Ovis aries: one gene and its partners. The protein of the gene in region 2 interacts with the protein of the main gene of each other region in a biochemical or structural test. Links are inferred from orthologs where the notes say so. Each region holds a gene or a part of one and is shown on either strand. Other genes may lie near its edges. The genes, in order: EIF4G3, EIF4E, EIF4EBP3 and IPO8.

Region 1 (5,481 bases), on a different chromosome or scaffold from region 2:
AAGACCACCAAACTGTCTGTCTAAAAGCTTTTTCAATCCTCACATGCTTCTTGATTTTCTCTTTGCTAAGTGATACTAATGGTCATGAACACGCTTGATTATTCCTTGCTCCTGGGGAATGGAAAAGCACACTCTCTTCCCTGGTGGAGTCATCTCTCAGAACTTCACTGAGTATACAGTGTCTCTGATAAATACCAGGTCATAGCTGTTGAATATTTAGTCAGTGTCAGTTGCTATGCTGAACACTTTGCCTATCTCATTTCAGCCTCACACAAATCCTAGGTACTATTATTCGATCAATTTTATAGATTAAGTGACTTGCGCAAGGTCACGGAGCTAGGATGCAGGAGAGCTGAAACTCACACCAAGACAGTCTGGCTTGAGTCTACGCCCTCAACCTTTATACTAATATGACCTGTTCACCATCTGAGCACGTCATAGCACAGTGGACAAAACGAGCGTTCCCATTTGGATGTCATCTCAGAAGAAACAATCTTATAAGAAAAACGGTCATTTCCTTTCCTTTCTGGAAAAAGTTTCCTTTCAATGTTCCTAAACTGAGTCAACAGAATTTTCTATTTTCTCAGGTGTAAAATGCTTACTATTTCACGTTTTTTTCTTTTCTTCCTTTTTATTTTTATCACTACCAAGTTTTAACCTCCTTCCACATAGGATTTCAACTGACAACAGTGTTTCTGAGTTTGGTATACCCTTTGATTCACCGTGTGACAAGCAATGTGGTCACTGCTGTTCAGTTGCTAAGTTGTGTCTGACTCGGTGTGAACCCATGGACTTACACTGCGCTAGGCCTCCCTGTCCTTCACTATCTCCCAGAGTTTGCTCAAACCCATGCGCATTGAGTTGGTGATGCCATCCAGCCATCCCATCCTCTGCCGCCCCCTTCCCCTCCTGCCCTCAGTCACTCCCAGCATCGACGTCTTCTCCAGGGAGCAGCAGACCCCTTTTATTGACATGTACCCAGCCCATCATCAAGCCTTTGCTCAAAAGCACGCGGCGGCTCCTCAGTGTCAGCTCGAGCCCAACTTCCTGATTTGGGTCCACTCTTCTCGGATTTTTTCAATCCTTCTCAACACTTAAATTTTACTCTAATCAGGCTTATTTATTCTTCTTTACAGTATATATTTACTTTAGTTTCATGACTATAATTTTTCCATCCCTTCCAAATATTGGCCATCTACCAGTGCACAGTTCAAGTGTCCCTTTCCTCTAGGTTGCTATCCTGCCTGTTCTGAATTTTAACAGCCTGAGTGGAGAATACATTTCATAACTGATAGTATCTTCCGTTTGCTTGAAAACATTCCCTTTATTAGTTCTGGCTTCCAGAGGGAAGGAGCTGTATCTTCTACTTCTTTTCATATCCCTCACCTATACTGAGTATACAGAAGATGCTCAATAAAGCCTTGTTGATTGCTGACTTTGGAGTAATCAAAGGAATAATACGTACTTCCCACATTCTCTGTTTTTACACAACCAGTCTCCAGGTGATGCTGTCCCACTTGCCACTCACCGTTCTGTTCTCTGGGTCAGTCTTTCTGCTCTCATCTCACACCTGAGTGTAGAATTCTCAACATATCCATCCCTCAAGCCCCTGAGCTCCCTAGCGCCCGGCAGACCCACCCCTCACCTGGTCGTCTCTTCTCTTTGGTCATGAGTTGCTGGACCTTCCTCTGCTCTTCCTGTTCTTCTATTTTAGCTTCTTTGTGAATCTGCTCAATAGTTTTAGGCCCCTGATCTGCTCGTCGTGATACCCAATTACACTATAAAAGGAGAAAACCAGGATGTCAGCCAGATAACTAAAAATAGAAAGGAAACTTCAGAAAAATCGGTTTCTTCCTTTCACTGCTAGAAAGGCATAGCATACATGTAAACCTGGCGCTACAGCAGGCTCAGCCACCTCACAGATGGCTCTGTGTGCAGTTCAGATGCAGTGCTGAACACTGAAATCTGCCTCAGCCACTGAGTCACTCTATGCAGAAGCCAACGGATAGAAATACAGAGTGAAAGAATGGCCCAACTATCTACCTACCTACCTATCTAGCCAGCTATCTGTACATTTTATCATTTCGCACTTTCCAAAGGAGAGAGAGGAGGAATCAATAAAGATCAGGACTTCTGGCCTTGACGCTGTTGGATATATTGCTACTCAGTTCACACCACACTCCGCTGGGGTTCTAAATCGAGGATGACTAGCATTTTCCTTCCTCGCATATGGAGGTTGTGGTATCTATACAAAATGTTCTAAGCTCTAGCTCTAGTTATCCTCTCCACTAAGGGTAAGACAAGCTGTCTCCTTCAAGTTACACTTCTCCCATTCCTTCCCTTCTGAGCTATAGTCTCAATATCTGATACAAATATGAGTGACTGAAGGAAGAGGCGGAGCAATTTTTAACATTTACTTATATTAGTTTGAGGCAAGAATGGCAAATAGATTTAAATCGCATTCAAAATTCTGATCAACTGGAAGTGACTTTGTTAATAAGGATCCTGAGGTCACGTCTCAGCTTAGTAAGATAAAGAGCCATCGTCAATGCTGCCTGGTCTGAGGGCAGGGCAGGGTACAGAGGGGGACCTATATTCACTTCCTCTACCTTAGGGTCAGTGGCAGTGTATTTCCTCTTGGAGTTGAAAAAGGTGGTAGTGGTAAAAACTATACTTAGCATGACAAAGGAGGGAAAAAAAGCAGCAGAACAAGAGGGTATACAGGAAAAACAATAGAGAGGAAAACATCTACATCTCCTGGGAGCTGGGCACATACATAACCACTGAATCTTTATAACACACCTGCAAGGCAGACAATGTCACCACTTCAGAGATTAAAATGTAAGGCTCGGGGAAGAGAAATACATTTATTTTGAAGATGAGAATTCTTGATTATTTAGCATGCTAAGATTAAATTAAATGACCACAGTTTGCATTCAGAATGGCTGGTTTCAAAACTGCAAAGTGGTCTGATCACCAGAATAAAGAGAAGAAATAAGTTACAGACAGGCAGGTGTATATGCTCTTTGTCCTTCCACATAGCTCTCGTCACAGTTTGTCGATCCATGTTCTGAGTCATGCGGCAAAAGCATTACGCCATTACACATATAAATCCTACGACATCCTCCCCAAGCCAATCCTGAAAAGAGACTGAAGAGGTAGGTTGATTTTTCTACTTACCAGCCTTAGATCTATTACATCCTGAAGCATGAATCGAATCCTAGATGAGGTTTTTCTTTCTTTCACAATTTTCTCCATCTGATTAAAATACTGGTCCATACGTGGCTGCAAGATACAAAATCACTGGTATTCCTGGCTGAGGAATTCAAATGTTGTTTTATCACACAGAATTTTAAGACAGCATAGGAATACAACTTTTGGCCAAAAGGAATTGTGGTAGAATTTTTAATTGAACATGACACCCAAAATAAAGGCTACACATTCCAGGCGGCAGGCCATGGCCATATGACTAAATATAGGCCAACAGAATATAAATGGAAATGTCCTACTGCATCCCCTTGGAACCTTAAGAGAGAGGTGGCTGTGTCCTTTGCCCTTTTCTAACCTTCTTGGCTATGATGTCAAGAAGTACTCCAGGGCTACACCTTAGGGATGACAAAATGTTACACTGGAGGAACTGAAATTTTTTGTCATCTCTTAGCCAGCCACAGAAATGTATTGCTATTCATATACATGTGAAGGCCCTGTAAAATAAAGGACATGGGACAAATAATCTCAATTCATGACCTGGCTTTTAAATTCTTTTGGACCCTCTTCACTTCTGACTTTAATGAAAACGTGGTAAGGAGCACCATGGCCCAACACTGACAGTGAGAAGGACGAAAGAAAAGCAAGCAGCCTTGGCTGCTAGGATAAGATGGAGACCTGTGTTGACAGTCAACTTCCGCAGCTGACAAAGAGTCCCTGCAGGAGGTTTCTGAGATTTGGGGGTCGTACCTTTGCTTTCTCAAAGTCCAGGTCTTTGCCAATTGTGGTGAGCAGGCGACATAGACACTCGAGGGATTCTTCATCGTGGTTCTTCAGCAGCTTCACCACACAGTCATGCATGATGGCTTCAGTCAGCATTTTGAGCTTAAAGAGTTCGCCAATGAACTTGATGTTGCCAATGGATCTCCGCCGGGCTTTATCTTTAGCTTCTTCCAGTTCATCATGAAGCCTTGTCCTCTCCTCTGGCTATTGCATAAGGAAGAATAACAGAATCTTGATGATGAAGATCGTACTACTCAAAAGATGCTAAAAACATACGTGTGACTGGTGTTGCCTGTGTGCTCGTTCAGTGCAGACCTGGCAAGTCTCCTATGAAGCAGCAGCTAGGGAGACTATGGAGCTCAGCACTGCTGATGAAAAGCTCAAGGAAGGCGTCAAAACCAAGAAAAACAATCATACTAATTTGAAGGTGGAGGGGCAGGATGGTTCAGAGGTGCCGTTTAACATTAAGAGGCATACAGCTCTTTTATTAGTACCCTAATAAAAGCCTATTGTGAATGAGAGGGTTTGTCAGTGAGGCAGATCAATTCTGATCTGACGGGCAGCCAATCAGTGAAAAAGACACACCTGAACAGTTAGAAGTGGAGGATGAAGATACAACTGTTGTGTTCCAAGAGCAGATAGTAGGTGTCTACTAAATAGGGAACCCCTAGAATTCTGTTCCTCCAGACCAAAAAGACACTCTCCGCTAGAAAATCACAATTTGGTTCCGCCACATCCTGACTGCTGGAGTGTAGTTTCTCTACTCTTTCATTTTCTCCTTTCTCATTCCCTTACTATACACAGAGTAACTGATGTATATGCACACGCATAGTGCACTTGAAAAAAACGACAGGGCCGATGGTATGTTTTGACTGACACCAAATGAAGATGGGATGGGGAAAAATACTGGTCTGGTGAAAACATCCCCTTTATCTCCATTTGGGGCATACTCATCAACTCTTTTCTTTATACTCCAGTATATTATTTTGCTTTCATTGTCTAACAAAAATAGAACCACATAAAAATTCTTGCACTCCTTGTTTGATTGGAGGATTTTAATGTTTTCCATTTACCACTGTAAAACCAGTGACAACTTTATAACTTTTCTGTATGTAGCTGTTACACGTAGGGCAATCTCTGTTTAAGTAAGGATAAATTACTCTAAAAGAAGAAATGATCCTATATAATTTTCCCTTCAAGTCAATTGTCTTGCTGTTTAAATAAACTTCTTGTTTAAATTAAGGGTCAGGTAGACCCTTTGAGGTTTTGACAGTTAACCACAGACCTATTCAGAAAATAAAACTATACCCACAAGTTCACATCCATTTCAGGAGATTTCTGGAATTCAGTAACCTCTCTGAAGTCTAGGTTCTGAATCCCTGTCTTAGAAGGTTGAGTTGTTTTAACATGTGGCGCTAAAAGGAATAAAGCTTTCCTCTAAACATCAATACAGTATAGCTCCACCTGAAGAAAAGGCCACAGGCACCTACT
Region 2 (5,481 bases):
GGCACCCATGTCTACCATTTGTCACTGTTCCTGTATTATAATCAACTCTCAGAAGAGTAACTGCCAGTTTCTTGTAAGAATGCCACTGATGAAGCAGTAATAAAATACTTGTTTTATTAAATTTCAATCTGTGCACATGTTTTTTCTGCACAAAAAATACTTCTGCATACCAAAGACAATGCTTAGGCATTGAGTTGTGAGGAGAACTAGTCGCTTTCTCAAAGAACACCACTTTTACTTGGAAGAATAGGCTGATCAATCATGGTTACGTCTTGAAAAATGAACAGAGTGAGCATGTAGCTAAAATTTAAGCTTTCAGGAGAAAAATCAGAATTTTGGAAAGCCTGCAGGTGTCACTGAGCATGACAATTTAACAAAACTTGGGTATATTTCTGGGACATTTAGTAATGATAATGTTATTGTTTTGATATCATATAATAAAAAATGCCAATATTAAGGTCTACAGACTCACTGAACCAGTATTTTCTAAATGACCAGTGGTATTCATGAGTGAAGAAGGATATATATATTTCAAATGCAAGACAGATCAATGGATTTTAAAGCAACAGAGTAGAAAAAAGTTCTTAGATGTGGTTTCAGATTCTTTATTGCAACTAACCTGCAAGAAACCTAGTATCAAAGGAAGGAGATATTCATAATTATAAAAGGCCATTAAAATTTCTCCTTTTCCAACCATGGTATATTTGAGGTCATATTTTATCCTTAAACTTCCTCTGAAACAACGTATCTCCAAAGACTTGAAAATGCAGAACCAGCTATGAAAACCTAGCTGATTTCTATTAAGCCAGGCACTTGAACATATTTACAAAAACGCTGTTCTTCTCATTATGTATTTTTTATTTTGAATAAATTTTTTCCATAAAAATCATTTACATTAAAATGCAATGGGTTAAGTACATATGTAATTTTATATTTTTTGAGATTTTCTAATATAGCAAATGAAAATAGATGAAAATCTATATAACCTGTAAAACACTGTGGAATCCTCAATAATTTTTAAGAATGTAAAGGGGTCATGAGCCCAAAGAAGTGAGATTTAAATAATTACAATAAATAATTTTAAAAATATAATAAACATAATATATACATGCAAGAAGACTTCTAGGCCACTATTAAATGTGTTAATTGTGTGGGTTAAAAAAAAAAAAGGATAAATATGTGGGTAAAATTCTCTTAAGACTGACATGAAACCCAGAAACCATGGAGGAAAGTTGGCATTTGATTATATGAAAATAAAAAAACCTTTAAAATAACACAACTCTTTAGACAATGTTAAAAGACAAATGATTTGGAAGTGTATTTCAACCTAATCCCCCCTTGGATCGGTTAGCATCCCTAATGTACAATGCTTAGAAATAAACTTGAAAAGATAACCAAAAAGAAAATAACAGACAATAAGAACTGAACAGACTTCTCACAGGTAAAAACACAAATAAGCAATTGTCTTGAACAAAACTGTTTGAAACTTCAATAGAAGAAATGCACATTCAAAACAATAAGACATTGTTTTCGCAAATTAGGCTAGAACCAACCTGACAGGCAATTAAATTTAAAAGACTGACGGTACCAGTTGGCAAGGATGTAGAAATCAGTAAGTCTAAGCAGATAAAGGAGGATAATTTGGCAGTGTCTACAAAGGTAGATAATGAGCAGTCTTAAACCTAAGAACTCGGAAATTTTACCATATAGATATACCACTATATTCACACAAGTGCAAAAAGAAAAAAAAAAAAAGGATGCATACATTAGTACTGTTTGTAAATTTAAAAACTCTGCATACTCATTAATGTAAGCCTGATAAAATATGACTGTATATTCATTTAAAACAAAGCTGTGGATTAAAATAAAGACTTAATAGTATGGCAATCTGCAATCTGTATAGATTAAAAAAGTATATATATGTACATTGAAAGGTTTTGGAAAAATACAAACCAAATTTTTAACAGACTATTTTGGGGAGTGGAGCAAAACAAAATGAGGAAGAAGGTATCAGGGAAAAACAGAGAACTTAAAACTTTGTATACTTAGAGCCTCAATGATTTAATCGTTCTTATAATACGATAGTGGTTTTTATTTTAAAGAAAACATAATTCCTTACAAAATTATTTACAAAAAGTAAATAATGAAGAAATCACCAAAATCAGAACCAAAAATGTCTTAGAACAGTTTTCAATGTGATGTTATTTTACACAAGAAATAAGAAATTATAGAGAAATTAAAATCTTCACAGACTTCATTTTAGGATTTAATCAGTTTGTTCACTGATAAGGGCACCTTTCAGGAATCTCAGATTTCATCTTAAGCTATGACGGATATATGCCTTGATCTCCCACAATAACAGCAACATGAAGAACTGTGTTCACAGAGAGAAAACAGTGAGCTTTTTATATGATACCACTGAAAAGATGGGGGGAAAATACTTTAAAGGTTTTAGTACTGCTGCTAGGATGAACTGTATAAAACTGCCACTCATCAATTGTCCAACTTAGTATTAGTTTGGCACAATCTTTCCTGAGAAAGAATTTTTTCCTTTTATCAACTATTCGACCTTCGGTATTTCACACATTGGCTGACAATCCACAGTATCTAGAGAACTGACTTGTTCCTCCCTGGAGGGTACGCTGAATCACCCACCTTCTATGAAAAAACTACTAAAGCATATTTGGACTATTACTTCAGAAGGTCTACAATGATAATGAAGAAAAAAAAAGGACATAAAGGAACAACACACTTTTCAGATAAATGAAACCTAATTATAGACTTATAGGGTCTGGGAGAGGGGGAATGAAAGGAATTACAGATCCTTGAAAGTTAATTTATCTAATTTACTTTCCTCCAGATTCTTACAATGTTTCTAAGTGTTCCCACCATCAGCTCTCAGTGAATTAAAGTTAAGTTTTATCAGATAAACAAGAAAGATAATTAAGTAAAAGCACATACTGGGAAGTGGTAGGGTGGAGATAGGAAAAAGCATATACTGAAGTATTAAACTACTACATTGCAACTATGAAAACTTAACTCATCCTAAACTCTCTTTTCCTCTTCTAAACTTCTCTTAAAATACAAACCAACCAATATCCAGACTCCACATACCCTAGGTTCTTTCTTCTTCACAGACCATCTCAACTTTATCCTTCAAATTGTCTATTCCTGCTCTATACATTTGTATATTTCTATTCACTCTTCAAACTACACCAATCTTTTTCTATCATCTACTCTACTAACTTTCTCCAGTGTTAGCAAAGACTTATTGTTCAATCCAATGAATATTTGACCTTTTTGGGGCATATATGCTGTACCTTGTCCTTAAACCATTTTCTTGGTTTCCATGACTAACACTCTGCCCTAGTTTATGCAGTATATATGTCTATACTCTTCCACAGGCATTCTTAAAAAATTTTATTAAAGTACAGTTGATTTACAATGTTATGGTAATTTCTGCTGTACAGCAAAGTGACTTAGCTATACATCTGTATATATATTTTCATATTCTTCTCCATTATGGTTTATCATAGGATATTAACTATATAGTCCTCTGGGCTATACAGTAGGACCTTGTTGTTTATCCACTCTCTCTATATAATAATTTGCATCTGTTAACTCCAAACTACCAGTTCATCCCTGCCCAACCCCCTCTCTCTTTGCACCACGTCTGTTATCTTCATAGCCATTCTTACCCAAAAAAAATCCCCATGTGCTAATATTCCAAGCCTCTGTTGTGAGTCAGATTCACTTAAGAGAACTCATTTACTCCTATGGTTTCAACTACCATTCAAAGTTACACTTCCTGAGCGCAAGATTCACACATAAAACTGCTTGCCAGATGTGGGTCATCAAAGTGAAAATGGAATCCTCAACCTAACATACCTAAAACCAGTCTATTCTAACCTTCCCCTCCAAACCTGTCCCATTCACCATTTATGTTGTTGCCCAAGTCAAAAAATCTATGTGTCAGAAAGCTTACCTGTTCTGTAAAGGATGTTTAATATAGTGTTCTGGGTTAGCAACCTCCTGATTGGATTCTGTTTTCTCTTCTTCTGTAGGCGGGGGATTTGGAGTAGGGGTGGTTTCCTAGTGGAAAATAATTAAACATTATAAACTTCTTAACATGAAGAAATAACATTAAGAAATTTATTTGTACATTTTTATTGAAATATAGTTAATTTACAATGTTGTGAAAACTTAATCTCTATGACAGCAATACTCTAAATAAATCTTAACCAATACTGTCCATAACATTTTTTTTAAAGAATGAATTATAGGAGAAGCATTTGATAAAGTAGACCACTAGCCAAACTCTAAGAAAAGCACTAGACTCTTCTAGCATCTCTTCATTAAGAGCAAAATGTTTCTCAAATTTAAAATATATATTGTTATCTTCCAATTACAAATTTAACATAAGATTGTTAGACACCATGGAAAATAGGAGAATGAAGTATCTTTAACATCCCATTAAAGTGCTGTGCATGGCAGGGGTGGTTAGTGGGAAGGGCCAGTTCAACTAAAGTTTGGAGAGCATAATTAACTATATTACATGACACACAAAAAATCTTTATAAAATGAGTAAGGCAATACTACACAGATCCTTGCCTTCATGTCACACTGTTATGATATATGGTAACTTTATAAAGTTGAGCAACTTCTGTCATTTTCAAACGATCCTAAGGAAAAAAGCTGGACACCAGCTTGAATTGAAATCTTCTAAATCGGGAAAGGTGTACATCAAGGCTGTATATTGCCATCTTGCTTATTTAACTTATATGCAGAGTACATCATGAGAAACACCAGGCTGGATAAGTACAGCTGGAATCAAGATTGCTGGGAGAAATATCAGTAACTTCAGATATGCAGATGACACCACCCTTATGGCAGAAAGTGAAGAACTAAAGAGCCTCTTGATGAAAGTGAAAGAGGAGAGTTTAAAAGTTGGCTTGAAACTCAACATTCAGAAAAATAAGGTCATGGCATCCAGTCCCATCACTTCATGGCAAACAGATGTGGAAACAGCAAGAGACTTTATTTTTCTGGGCTCCAAAATCACTGCAGATGGTAACTGCAGCCATGAAATTAAAAGATGCTTGCTCCTTGAAAGAGAAGTTATGACCAACCTACACAGCATATTAAAAAGCAAAGACATTCCTTTGCCAACAAAGGTCCGTCTAGTCAAGGCTATCGTTTTTCCAGTGGTCATGGATGTGAGAGTTGGACTATAAAGAAAGCTGAGCGCCAAAGAATTGATGCTTTTGAACTGCTGGAGAAGACTTGAGAGTCCCTTGGACTGCAAGGAGATCCAACCAGTCCATCCTAAAGGAGATCAGTCCTGAATATTCACTGGAAGGACTGATGCTGAAGCTGAAACTCCAATACTTTGGCCACCTGATGTGGAGAACTGACTCATTTGAAAAGACCCTAATGCTGGGAAAGGTTGAAGGCGGGAGAAGGGGATGACAGAGGATGAAA
Region 3 (5,559 bases), on a different chromosome or scaffold from region 2:
CATTGCATCACCCTTGACCTATGCAAGTGCTACAGAGATTATAACATAGCTATATAAACTGAAGGTGAAAAAGACCAGATTGTTGCAATATGGGAACATGATTTTTCCCCATGGGGGCAGGGGAGGGGGAGCAGGATTATGACTCTTTATCTGACTCACCAAATAAGCTGCTGCCTCGGTTTGGGCCCTAAGGTCTTCTAACACTTTGAGGACAACAGAACCAGGTGGAAGGGGCCAGGAGGTTCACATCATGCTGTGAGAAGGGAGAGTACAGGTTTTCAGTGTTGGAATAACGTTGGTACTTACAGGTAGGAGGCAGAAAAGGCATGGGGAGAGACCAAAGAAGGCTATAGGCTGGGGCACTGCCTCTTGTTTCCTGCTTTGAAACAACTAGGGAGGGACGGCTAGAGAGGCTGATTCTGGGAAGGGTGCTTCCTGGAAAGGCTGCAGCTGCCCTTGGCAGGGGTCAGGCTATTGCTGTTTACGGTTTGGCAGCTCCTATGGCCTGTCCCCAAAGTCTGCCTCAGGGTCTAATTGCTGCTCAAAGTGGGCCCAGAGGGAGCTAGAAAGGGACCTGAGACCTCTTATCCTAACCAGGTTTGCTGGGGCCCTTACATTATGGCTGAGCTGGGAAGATCAACATTGAGGAGAACACTGGAGCCAAGGCATTTCTTTGAATGTTTACTAAGCAGTCAGAAAGTGACATTCTCCATTCCCCTGGCCCAGCCTCAGCTGGAGCCAAGTGCCAGGGGTTGGGAGGAGTGCCTACAGACCAAAGAGAAAGTAGAGCTAAGGGCTTGGCAAGTTGCCCACTCCTATCCCTGGTCTAGCTGCCTCAGACCCAACATGGAGGCCCAGAACCAACATATCACCCCCTTCCGGATTAGATGAGGCCAGTAGGCCTTTGGATACCCCAGAGAAAGGAGGTAGCGGCAGCAGCGTGATGGATTCCTCTCATTCCACATATGGTCATCTGCACTGGATTAGATGTCCATTTCAAACTGTGCATCATCTGGGGAGAGAAAGGGCAGGACTGGTTGCTGGGCTGGCAGTCTGTAGCTTCAGTGTTAGTTCAGACAGCCCCCTCAGAACTGACCCCCGCCCCCAATCTACATAATTGGGGCTTTTGGGTTCAAAGCCATAGTAAAATTTTAGGGCCTGCTTTCCTTACCGGGTATCTCTTCCTCTGTCTCCTTCTGCTCCGTCAGCTCCTCTAGCTTGGGGGGTGGGGCTGTTGGAGGCGCTGTGATCCCGGGAGTCTGGGGGAGGCAGCAGGGAGGCCTCTGGGCAGTGGGCGAGTTCTTGCACTCCAGCAGGAACTTTCGGTCGTAGATGATCCTGGTGCCTGTCAAGGGGTAGGGGCTAGGTAAGAGGCAGGAGCTTGGGTACAAAGCTGTTTGGGACCCCAGACACAGGTCTTTTAGGGGCCAAGGGGTCATATCTTCCCTTTTCTTAAGGGTTACTGCTCTGCAGCCCAGTCAGGATCTCAGCTGACTAGCTCTCACAGCACTTGAAGGCTTCTGGGCCTAACCAAGTTGTGTCAGCACCGTAGAGCAAGTGGGGCATCCCAGCTGGTCTAGGCAGGGGCTTTTGGTTTAGGGGAGCTCCAGGAGCACCACCAGACTTGGAGCTCAAGAGCTTCTGGAGGTTCCTGTCCTCTGCTGGCTCTGAACTTCACCTGTTTGGTTCAAAAGGTAGTGCCTAGCCCTTCAGCCTCAGTTGGATGAGGAAGCCAAAGAACAGATGTGAAGGCTAATGCTGCCACCTGGGCTCAGACAGGGAGGGGCAGTGCTCCTGTGAAACCCAGGGACAGGCTCTTATCCCGACCCCTCCCAAGTCCTGTCAGGCTCAGCTCAGCCCAGAGGACTTGGCCCCTGCCATGTGGTCACAAGGCCCTACCTCTTCTCCTCCCTTTCCCCTGCGTGGCAGGAACCCCTGAGTAGGTATGATTCCAGGCTGCTCCACCAGTCATCCACTAGGCAAGCCAGCCAGCACAGCGGCCTAAAGCCCCTGCCCCACGACTGCCCCCACCTCCAGCCCCTGATCCCCACCACTTGCAGCTTTGCAAAACCCAGGTGCTTCCTGCTGAGGCCACACAGCCGAGGGGCCAAAGCTCCTGCTATAACTCCCAGGCGGCAATACTGGCAGGGGTAGGTGAACAAGGAGCCCAGAACCCAGGCCACAGTGATGATTTCTGCCCAGAGTCACCCGGAAAATAGGCACAAGGCCATGTTGCATCACTTCGAGGTTTTAGGGAACTGAACTTAAGTTCCAAGAACCCACCCCGCTAAAAGCTAAAACGTGCAAGGGGTCCTGCACACAACCCCAGCCTGCAACTCCCCGCCCACGCCCGTCGACAAGCACATGCAGGCCTGCCTGTTGCCTGTCGACCCTGGCCCGGCCCTCTGACCTCGGCGGGGGGCGGGGGGGTAGTGGCGTATAGCGTGCCGCTGCCCCCTGGCGTGCTGCCGTAGCAGTTGGGCAGCCCTTCCCTGCCCCCATGGATTGGGCAGCTGGTGGATGAGGGCATAGGGAACGGAAAGAGCAGGAAGGCAGCGGCTGGTGCTGAGGTCGCAGAGCGTAGTCTGTCGCGGACTGTGTCTACCACGTGCGGTCGCAGCCACAACACCGGGACGACGTCACGCCGGGGGCGGGCCGGCCGTCATTCAACCCGAAGATCCCGCCCTACCCTCGCGGGAGCAAGCCCCAAACTCAGCGAAAAGTTGGAGCGTGTCCCGGGACCCGCAGTGGTCTCCAGTTCCTCCTGGCCCCAAATAGGCCAGCCTGCTTTTGCCTATGAGCGCTGCAGCCACTCAGTCATTTGCTATTTACTATTTCCAGCGGGTGCTGGGAGCGTGTGAGGTATGGCACACGTTTTTTGTTTGTATTCATCCATTCCTAACAGTTGGATAGTAAGACACTATTATTAGTTACAGTTACAAGTGAGGACACCAAAGCCCAGAGAGGTTAGGTCATGGTTGGAAGTCACGGATCTTGTATTAGGAGCGGGGGCTGGGATTCATACTTGAGTGCGTCTGATTTAAATGTGTGCCCCTAAGCACAGCTATTATGCCCCCCGTTAATCAGTTTCAGTACATGGTTAAAGTGCCTTGATGCCCTGGTGCACAGACATTAGTTGTGGAATAAGTGGACTGATTAAAGGATGAATAAAGGTTGGAAGATACAATAGGCCTGTTCTTTGATCTCTGCCACAGCTAACCTCAGTTCAGTTCAATCTCTCAGTCGTATCTGACTGACCCTGCGATCCCATGGACTGCAGCATGCCAGGCCTCCCTGTCCATCACCAACTCCCGGAGTCTACTCAAACTTCTGTCCATTGAGTGGGTGATGCCATCCAACCATCTCATCCTCTGTGGTCCCCTCCCCTGCCGTTAATCTTTGCTAGCTAACCTCACAACCTCAGAAAACTAAAGAAGGGCTGGGGGTTGGAAAGGAGGGGTTGGTTTTTTAGCCCTCTGGCAAGACAGAGCCTGGGTTGTTTTTTTTTCTTTTTGCCAAGTCTCCAAGCATGTAGGATCTTAGTTCCTCAATCAGGGATGGTATCCAAGCTCCCTGCAGTGAGCACTGAAGTGTGGAGTCTTAACCACTGGCCCAAGAGTGGCCTTTAAAGAGATTTTTTGATGTAGGCATGATGAAAGTCATGAAAGAGATGGTAAGAGAGTAAGTTCTAAGTTGAGCACACTAAAAATCTCAACTTGATCTAGTTGTTTGCTGCTTGGCTTCCTCAAAACCAGTATACCCTTCACCAGTGTCCCCCTTCTCTTCCAGCCAATTAATTATAGGCCGCCTGATTTAATGCATTTATTAGTATTAGTTAAGCTTTGGCTTCACTAAATTTTCCTTCAGCTCTGATTTCTTTACTTATTAAAAAAAAAAAAAACGGTATTTTACAAGTCATTGCTTCTCAAATTTTACCGTACACATAAATCACCTGGAGATCTTACTAAAATGAAGATTCTGATACAGTAATTAGAACTTGAAATTCTAAGCTTTTAATAAAATTCCAGGTGATGCAGACCCTTAGGTTTGCATGTCCTTAGAATCACACTTCAGGTAGCAAGGATATAAATGTTTTATTGTTCCAAAAAGGCTTTTGAGCCTCTTATAAAGTGGTATATACCGGAAGGAAGTGTTTTCACAATAAGTGCTGGAGCATAAGGTTTGGGATCAGATTGTGAGGAACCGTCTATGACAACTCAACTTTTAAGCAAGGTAAGTAGTCTAATGAGGGGAGTGAGACATGGGATGGAGAATAGTGAGACTGAAGGTGAAGACTCCAGCCTAGTGAAATGGGGTGGGTAAGAAGACAGTGGCTGCAAGGATGGAGAGAAGTGAAGGGGATCCAGATACACAGAGGAGTAAGGATAAGGTGACTGATTTAAGGGTAGGGTGGGAAGGAGATAAGCTAGGATAAGTCCCAGTCTTGTGACTTGAAAGTCTTGGTAGTTTATAATACCAACTAATAAGGAAAACAAGGGGAGGGGCATATATTATATTGGGTCATATATAATGTGTGTGGAATGTTCAGATGGAAAACACTGGAGAATGTTAAGTAAGGAGCCAGATGTACAGGTCTGAAGCTACAGAGGGAGAACTCTGGGCTAGTGATTCAGATTTGGGTAGAGTAAAATCTAAGGCTGTGGGATAAGATTCCTTGGGGAGAAGATACATCAAAAGAAGAGGCCTGGGCACATCTGTATTTCTTTAAGGGGTAGTGGAGGAAGAGGATTTCACCAGAGGAGAATGGGAAAGACCAGTGAGAGCAGGAGAACTACGAGCCAAGTGTCAAAGGCTGTCAAGAAGGATCAGTATGGAAGCGAGGTCTCCCATCTATTAATCTCTTCTAAAACAACAGCAGCAGTTACTACTACGATAAGACTACCACCAGAAGCTTACTTTTCTTGAGACACTGTGTGCTACAAGGGTTGGGGAACTAGAGAATAGGTAGTTGGATTTTAGAGAGAAAGCCAGATCCATCATCCATTCAACCTGCATGAAGGACCAAGAAAGATTTTCAATCAGAGGGTTTTTGTCAACACTTATGGGAAATAGATGGGGAAACAGTGGAAACAGTGTCAGACTTTTTCTGGGCTCCAAAATCACTGCAGATGGTGATTGCAACCATGAAATTAAAAGACGCTTACTCCTTGGAAGAAAAGTTATGACCAACCTAGATAGCATATTCAAAAGCAGAGACTTTACTTTGCTGACTAAGGTCCGTCTAGTCAAGGCTATGGTTTTTCCAGTGGTCATGTATGGATGTGAGAGTTGGACTATGAAGAAGGCTGAGTGCTGAAGAATTGATGCTTTTGAACTGTGGTGTTGGAGAAGACTCTTGAGAGTCCCTTGGACTGCAAGGAGATCCAACCAGTCCATTCTGAAGGAGATCAGCCCTGGGATTTCTTTGGAAGGAATGATGCTAAAGTTGAAACTCCAGTACTTTGGCCACCTCATGCGAAGAGTTGACTCATTGGAAAAGACTTTGATGCTGGGAGGGACTGGGGGCAGGAGAAGAAGGGGATGACCCAGGATGAGATG
Region 4 (5,481 bases), on a different chromosome or scaffold from region 2:
ATTCAGTTCAGATTAGATAGGAGAAAAGTCAGATGTGTGAGAAAGCAAGAAGTTAGATTTACTTGGGTCTTTTTCCTAGATAAAAAATACTGTTACAAAATGTTTTGGACCCAGGTCCAACACAGCTGGAATGATAAGTTATTGACAATGCAAGCTCCCATCCAGAAAGACAGCATACTTATACAGCACCTTTCTCGTAGAAGTTCAATGTGCTTTAGCATAATTATCAATTAACTGCATAATTAAGTACATGATTCAGAAAATACTCTGACTTATTGTTAATTCCAGTGACTAAGGAGTCCCTGCCACTTGCTGCCAAGAAATTTTTGAGTCCTGAACTTTACCAGGTTATGAATGAAATCCATACTCATATAGATTGATTCAAAAGAAATACTACCCCTTTCAGGGCTGAAAAATATGACAGAAGAGAGAATAAGACACTTCTTAGGAAAGCCACATCTTTAGGAAAAAACACATTATGAAAAACCAGAGCCAGTGCATATTGTACAACCCCTGAAGAAAGCCCCCAGCAGCAGGGGGTCAAGGGGAGCAGTGATGATTTTGAAACCAGAGTGACTTGTAGCTAACTGTCTAACAGGAAATTCACATAGTAAAATACAGAATAAATCAACATACAGCCAAGGTTTACATTTATCTAGAAATATGTTTTATGCTTTAAAAAAAATTGCAACACACTCCAAAAAAATTTTTTTCAGATAATTCATGTACAACAGAAGGCACTGTTATTCGCATAAATCCATTGATTCTGCATGGCAAAACCTGAGACGTGCAATTCCATCCAATCCTCTAAATCCACCTTGGTCGTTCATCCTTTGGAGCATATGCTTTGTCCTTTTCAGTCCTACGATTTTGTTTTTCTTTAATTCCATACATTACAGCAGCTGCTTAAAATATATATTTCAGGGTGAGAAAGATCAAAGGGGACACAGGGGCAGAGAAAGGTGCTGCCGGATGCCAAGCGGTAACTGGCACAGCAGGTGGCACAAACAGCAGCCCCTCCCCAGCTCTGCTGACCCTCTCCTTCCGCTGACGTTCAATGTAACGATGACATTTGGTCAGTTGATGTTCCTTCTTTCAGTTGTTGGTAGGCATAGTCCCAAAATTAAATGCAGAGAGGACTCCTTTGTTTTCAAAGGTGAAGCCTCCCTGTTGTTCAATCTTCTTCTTTGCCTCTAGAATTTGCAAGAGAAAGCAGGGAAAAGAGAAGAGTATCTAAGGTAACAAAGTTGGAAATATCCTCAAAGGAGCTAGATTCTTTAGAGTTAGCACTGTGAAGGAATGTGAATCGTGGTATTAATTATTCTGCCCAATTGAACACTAGCCTTTAACAAACCCATGTCAGTAAGTACAATCGTCCAGGTGTCTGGGGATATGTAACCCACAGATACACAGGATATAGAGGGCCCACTGTACCACACCATTTTAACAAGGAACTTGAGCATCCTAGGATTTTGGTATTTGAGGGGAGCCTAGGAACCAATCCCCTCTGAAGATACTGAGGAATGACTGCAATTATAATTCCTATTTTGGAACAACTGTTTGCTAAAACTGAGCAATATAAAAACAAGGCTCAAAGCCATAGTGTCTACCCCTAAAAGGGCACACTCACTTCTCCCATCAGGAGAGGCGATACAGAATCTGGGCAGGACTGAAGTCTAAAGTCCATGCAGAAGAAGCTGGGTTCTAAACTCTAGATTCCTATTCCATATTGTCTTCCACTAAAATACTTCTGTAATTACAAAATCTTCCATTAATTTTCCAGAAGTGGCCATAATAATATCTGCGTAAAATAATTTCTCCATCTCAAAAACTGAAAATCAACAAGAATCACCAACTTCTACATAAAGCCCAACAAAAAGAAATGGAGAGTATTTCATTTCTAGAAATATAAGGTCCTTATAAGAACTCATAAAATGCCTTTGATTCACTGTTTAGATGGTTAGGTGGGTGACCCAGCTGGTTAACTCTCCTTCAGCAAGATTCATCCCACCTTTATGTCTTAGCTTTGGCTCCAAAATAGGATAAAGGTGTGAATAAGAACACTACTAAAGACAGATATTAACACAGGGTGTTTTGCAAAGCTATCGTAAGTGATTAAAAAATCATAAAATAATGATAATTTCTTATTATCTTGAAAGGTTGGCCTCTAAAACCAAATTTTAGAGGCTGGTAAAAATAAAGGCTAACTACCAACACATGCACTCTGATCAGAAAATCATGCTGGCTGACCTGCCACTGTCCTCCGGTGCTCGGCCAATGTGTACACCTCCTGCAGCGCCCTCCTCTGATCCTCACTGAGCGGTGCCATCAGCAGTTGATACCACGCAGCATCCCGATTCTGCACAGCTGTTGTAATGCAGGGGTGTTTCAGGGGAGAAGGAATGATAAGGGAGTCCAGTGACAATTATTATTTCAGATAATAACTAATGATATAATCAAATTACAATGAAATGATAACAGACAATAGGTGATAAAACTTATTCCAACAAAGGATGACTCCTGAGTACTCACTTTAGTACTCAACCTATGTGGGGCTACAAAGGAAGGCTGAAGTGAAGTGAAAGTCGCCCAGTCATGCCCGACTTTTTGCGACCCCATGGACTATATATAGTCCATGGAATTCTCCAGGCCGGAATACTGGTGTGGGTAGCCTTTCCCTTCTCCAGGGATCTTCCCAACCCAAGGATCGAACCCAGGTCTTTGCATTGCAGGTGGATTCTTCACCAGCTGGGCCACGAGGGAAGCCCCTTGTAGAAGGGTTGGAACACCACAAATCTCTCCCTTGCCTAGTTCTCTGTCTCCTTTGCCATCTCCTCCACTTCTTGGGGTTTCACTAACTATGAAAGCTCCCTAAAGTCCAGATCATGGGAAACACTTTACTCACTTGTTATCATTTTCCTCAGGAATTCTCATGCTGCTGGCACATGCCACATGCTACCTGCATCTACACCAAAAACTCGAATTTGTACCTTTAGGCAAAACTGTTCACTAAACTTCCTGGACTTTCACATTGGATAGGTCACCTGCAACTCAGCACAACTGTAACCAAATGTAACATTTTACCTCTCAAACTCTCTTTGGATCTCCCCATTTCCATCACTAGTTCTATCAGTCTCCTGGTCAACCACTATCATACCCCCTGCACATCCAATTCTGTGCTTCTTTCTTGATGGTTTTCACCTATATGCTTTTTTTCATCAAACGCCACCCTTTCTCTCGAGGGCCTTACTTACATAAAGCAATTTCCTAACACCTGGTTCCCAAGTCTAGCCCACTTCAGTTCTTTTTGGACATTATCAATAGATAATACCCCTGAAAGAAACTACCACATCCCCAAAATCACCTCTTTATACAAAAACATTCAACAACACTCTAATGGGCAATGGGATAAAGACCACCTCAGTCCAGAATCCAAGGCTGGTACAATTTGGTACAATTCTAACACTTCACAGAGACTTAAGCAGTGGTCCCTATATATGCTGACTGAACAAAGTTGGTTGCCTATCTCTTGAGGAGCTTTTTCAAAATACATATCCTGAGATCCCACCCAAGACCAAAGAGCTTCTTTGTTGGTTATGGTGGACACCCAGGTCCAGTAGCGCCTTAGAGCACACCCTCTGCATTCCAATTTCCACCTTTATGCTCTTTATCTTCCACATGTTTTGGAATATCATTCCCTGGACTCTCTACCTCTTGTTCCTGCTAAATTTCAATAAAACACAGAGGTGATTCATTAATGGTATTTGTAATAAACAATACACTGGCATACTACATAATGTCAGTATATTAGGCTACCACTACCTTGTTAGTATTAACAACAATATTTTAGGGTTGGTGTTCAAATTGAACAAGGATGTTCAATTTAATATTCTTTACAACAGCAAAGAAACAAAAAACTGGAAATATCCTGTATGTCCATCAGTGGAAATAAGCTAAATTATGATACTGCCATAGAAATACAATGCAACTATCAAGCAACCCATATAGTGGGATTTCTTTTCATTATAACTTGTTTATAATAATTTTCCATATATTCTCATTGGTTTATCACTTATTTTTAATTCTATAAGTTTTCTATTTATATATCTCATTCTTATACTAGGTTATTGGTCTTATTCATTTATAGGTTTCTGTAATCTGTAGATCTTACATGACAGTATTTTCTTCCAATCTTTTATGAGTACTTTAACTGTATTTCTAATGTCCTGTCCTGTACAAAACTGATATATTGCTTATATAGTTAAAAATGTACTCTCTTATGGACTCCATTCCTTCCCAAGGGGACTGTGAATTGCTGATAAGTTTATGGCCACAATTTTTAAGCAAAATATGTGAGATACTTCATTCTGTAAAAATCTTTCTTTATACCTAGAGGATGAACAATATATATAGCTACTCTGCCTTAAATTACTTTTATGAGGATATCCTGCAATCTTACCCTGACAGTATGCTATCTGCTCTCATTTTATGTATGTTTGGGGATTTCTATAATTAAAAATAAATACAATTTTTACAGGGAATTCTAAACTAATTTGGGGTAGACCCCAAAACAACATCTAAAAGATGGAAATGAAAAACATATCTGACGATTCAGGGAGTAACAACATACTCAGCAAAGCTTGTGTAAAAAATTGATATTCATCCACACTATTGTCAAGGTCCAGCGGAGTACTGAATCCCTCAAGAGCAGTTTCTTCCAACACTTCTTCATCCCAGTCATCGTCATCTTCCTCCTCATCTTCACCTCTTCCATTATTTGACTGCATTGCTTGAGCAGTTACATTAGTCTCCTCTTCATCACTTGAAATCTCTTCTGTGAATCCATTATTCATTCAAAAGTAATCAAATCACATAAGGACAAAAGATAATCCAAATGAAAACAAAAATTATAAAGTGACATTCTAGAAATGGAAAAACTATCAAATAACTTTATGTAAAATAAACCTTACCTTTACTATAGCTTGCTAAATTGAAAATGAGTTTATCTTCCTCATTTAAAACAATTTCTAACTATCTCTAAATCTGTGATCTAGATGAACTGTTATTACTGTTTAACAATGGCTGCTTCATATCCATTAACATAAATACTATTTAGCCACAGATTCCCAAATTAACCTTTTTGTAAAAAAAAGACATAAAATGATTGTGTACTCAGTACATGTGTTTTAAATAACAATGACCTCCCATTGAGAATGTGAGTCTCTTAACAATTAACCAAGATATTAAGAATTACCAATTGCTTGGAAATATTCAAATGAAGAGGTCATTTCCGCTAACAGAAACAGAAAAGTTTAGAAATATTAAGAAAAATAATCAGCTACACATGGGTTAAAAAGTAGATAGCTGAACTGTGTATCTCCATAGATTAGTTTCTATTTTCAGGCCCAGTCTGTTCCAGGCAGACCAATACTGTAAATAACTGGAAGATAGTAAATGCAGGGCAAAAATCAATCTAAGAGG

Evidence for each region.
Region 1: the proteins of EIF4E (region 2) and EIF4G3 form a complex in vitro, tested with the Homo sapiens proteins (3 studies listed by BioGRID and IntAct, with this or other methods). The link is inferred for Ovis aries from reciprocal best matches to the Homo sapiens genes EIF4E and EIF4G3.
Region 3: the proteins of EIF4E (region 2) and EIF4EBP3 form a complex in vitro, tested with the Homo sapiens proteins (2 studies listed by IntAct, with this or other methods). The link is inferred for Ovis aries from reciprocal best matches to the Homo sapiens genes EIF4E and EIF4EBP3.
Region 4: the proteins of EIF4E (region 2) and IPO8 form a complex in vitro, tested with the Homo sapiens proteins (2 studies listed by BioGRID and IntAct, with this or other methods). The link is inferred for Ovis aries from reciprocal best matches to the Homo sapiens genes EIF4E and IPO8.

Annotation. Positions count from the first base shown.
Region 1 is NC_056055.1:245,522,637-245,528,117, reverse strand, and holds part of EIF4G3 (eukaryotic translation initiation factor 4 gamma 3), read right to left. Parts: intron 4,647-5,481; exon of another isoform or gene 4,343-4,646; intron 4,195-4,342; coding exon 3,958-4,194; intron 3,286-3,957; coding exon 3,181-3,285; intron 1,779-3,180; coding exon 1,646-1,778; intron 1-1,645. UniProt on the Homo sapiens protein: Component of the protein complex eIF4F, which is involved in the recognition of the mRNA cap, ATP-dependent unwinding of 5'-terminal secondary structure and recruitment of mRNA to the ribosome. Functional homolog of EIF4G1.
Region 2 is NC_056059.1:26,264,664-26,270,144, reverse strand, and holds part of EIF4E (eukaryotic translation initiation factor 4E), read right to left. Parts: intron 4,093-5,481; coding exon 3,986-4,092; intron 1-3,985. UniProt on the Homo sapiens protein: Acts in the cytoplasm to initiate and regulate protein synthesis and is required in the nucleus for export of a subset of mRNAs from the nucleus to the cytoplasm which promotes processes such as RNA capping, processing and splicing.
Region 3 is NC_056058.1:49,382,680-49,388,238, reverse strand, and holds EIF4EBP3 (eukaryotic translation initiation factor 4E-binding protein 3), read right to left. Parts: upstream 2,598-5,559; 5' UTR 2,531-2,597; coding exon 2,427-2,530; intron 1,351-2,426; coding exon 1,172-1,350; intron 1,013-1,171; coding exon 984-1,012; 3' UTR 669-983; downstream 1-668. UniProt on the Homo sapiens protein: Repressor of translation initiation that regulates EIF4E activity by preventing its assembly into the eIF4F complex: the hypophosphorylated form competes with EIF4G1/EIF4G3 and strongly binds to EIF4E, leading to repression of translation.
Region 4 is NC_056056.1:184,422,001-184,427,481, reverse strand, and holds part of IPO8 (importin-8), read right to left. Parts: intron 4,835-5,481; coding exon 4,631-4,834; intron 2,368-4,630; coding exon 2,251-2,367; intron 1,194-2,250; coding exon 1,096-1,193; 3' UTR 1-1,095. UniProt on the Homo sapiens protein: Involved in nuclear protein import, either by acting as autonomous nuclear transport receptor or as an adapter-like protein in association with the importin-beta subunit KPNB1.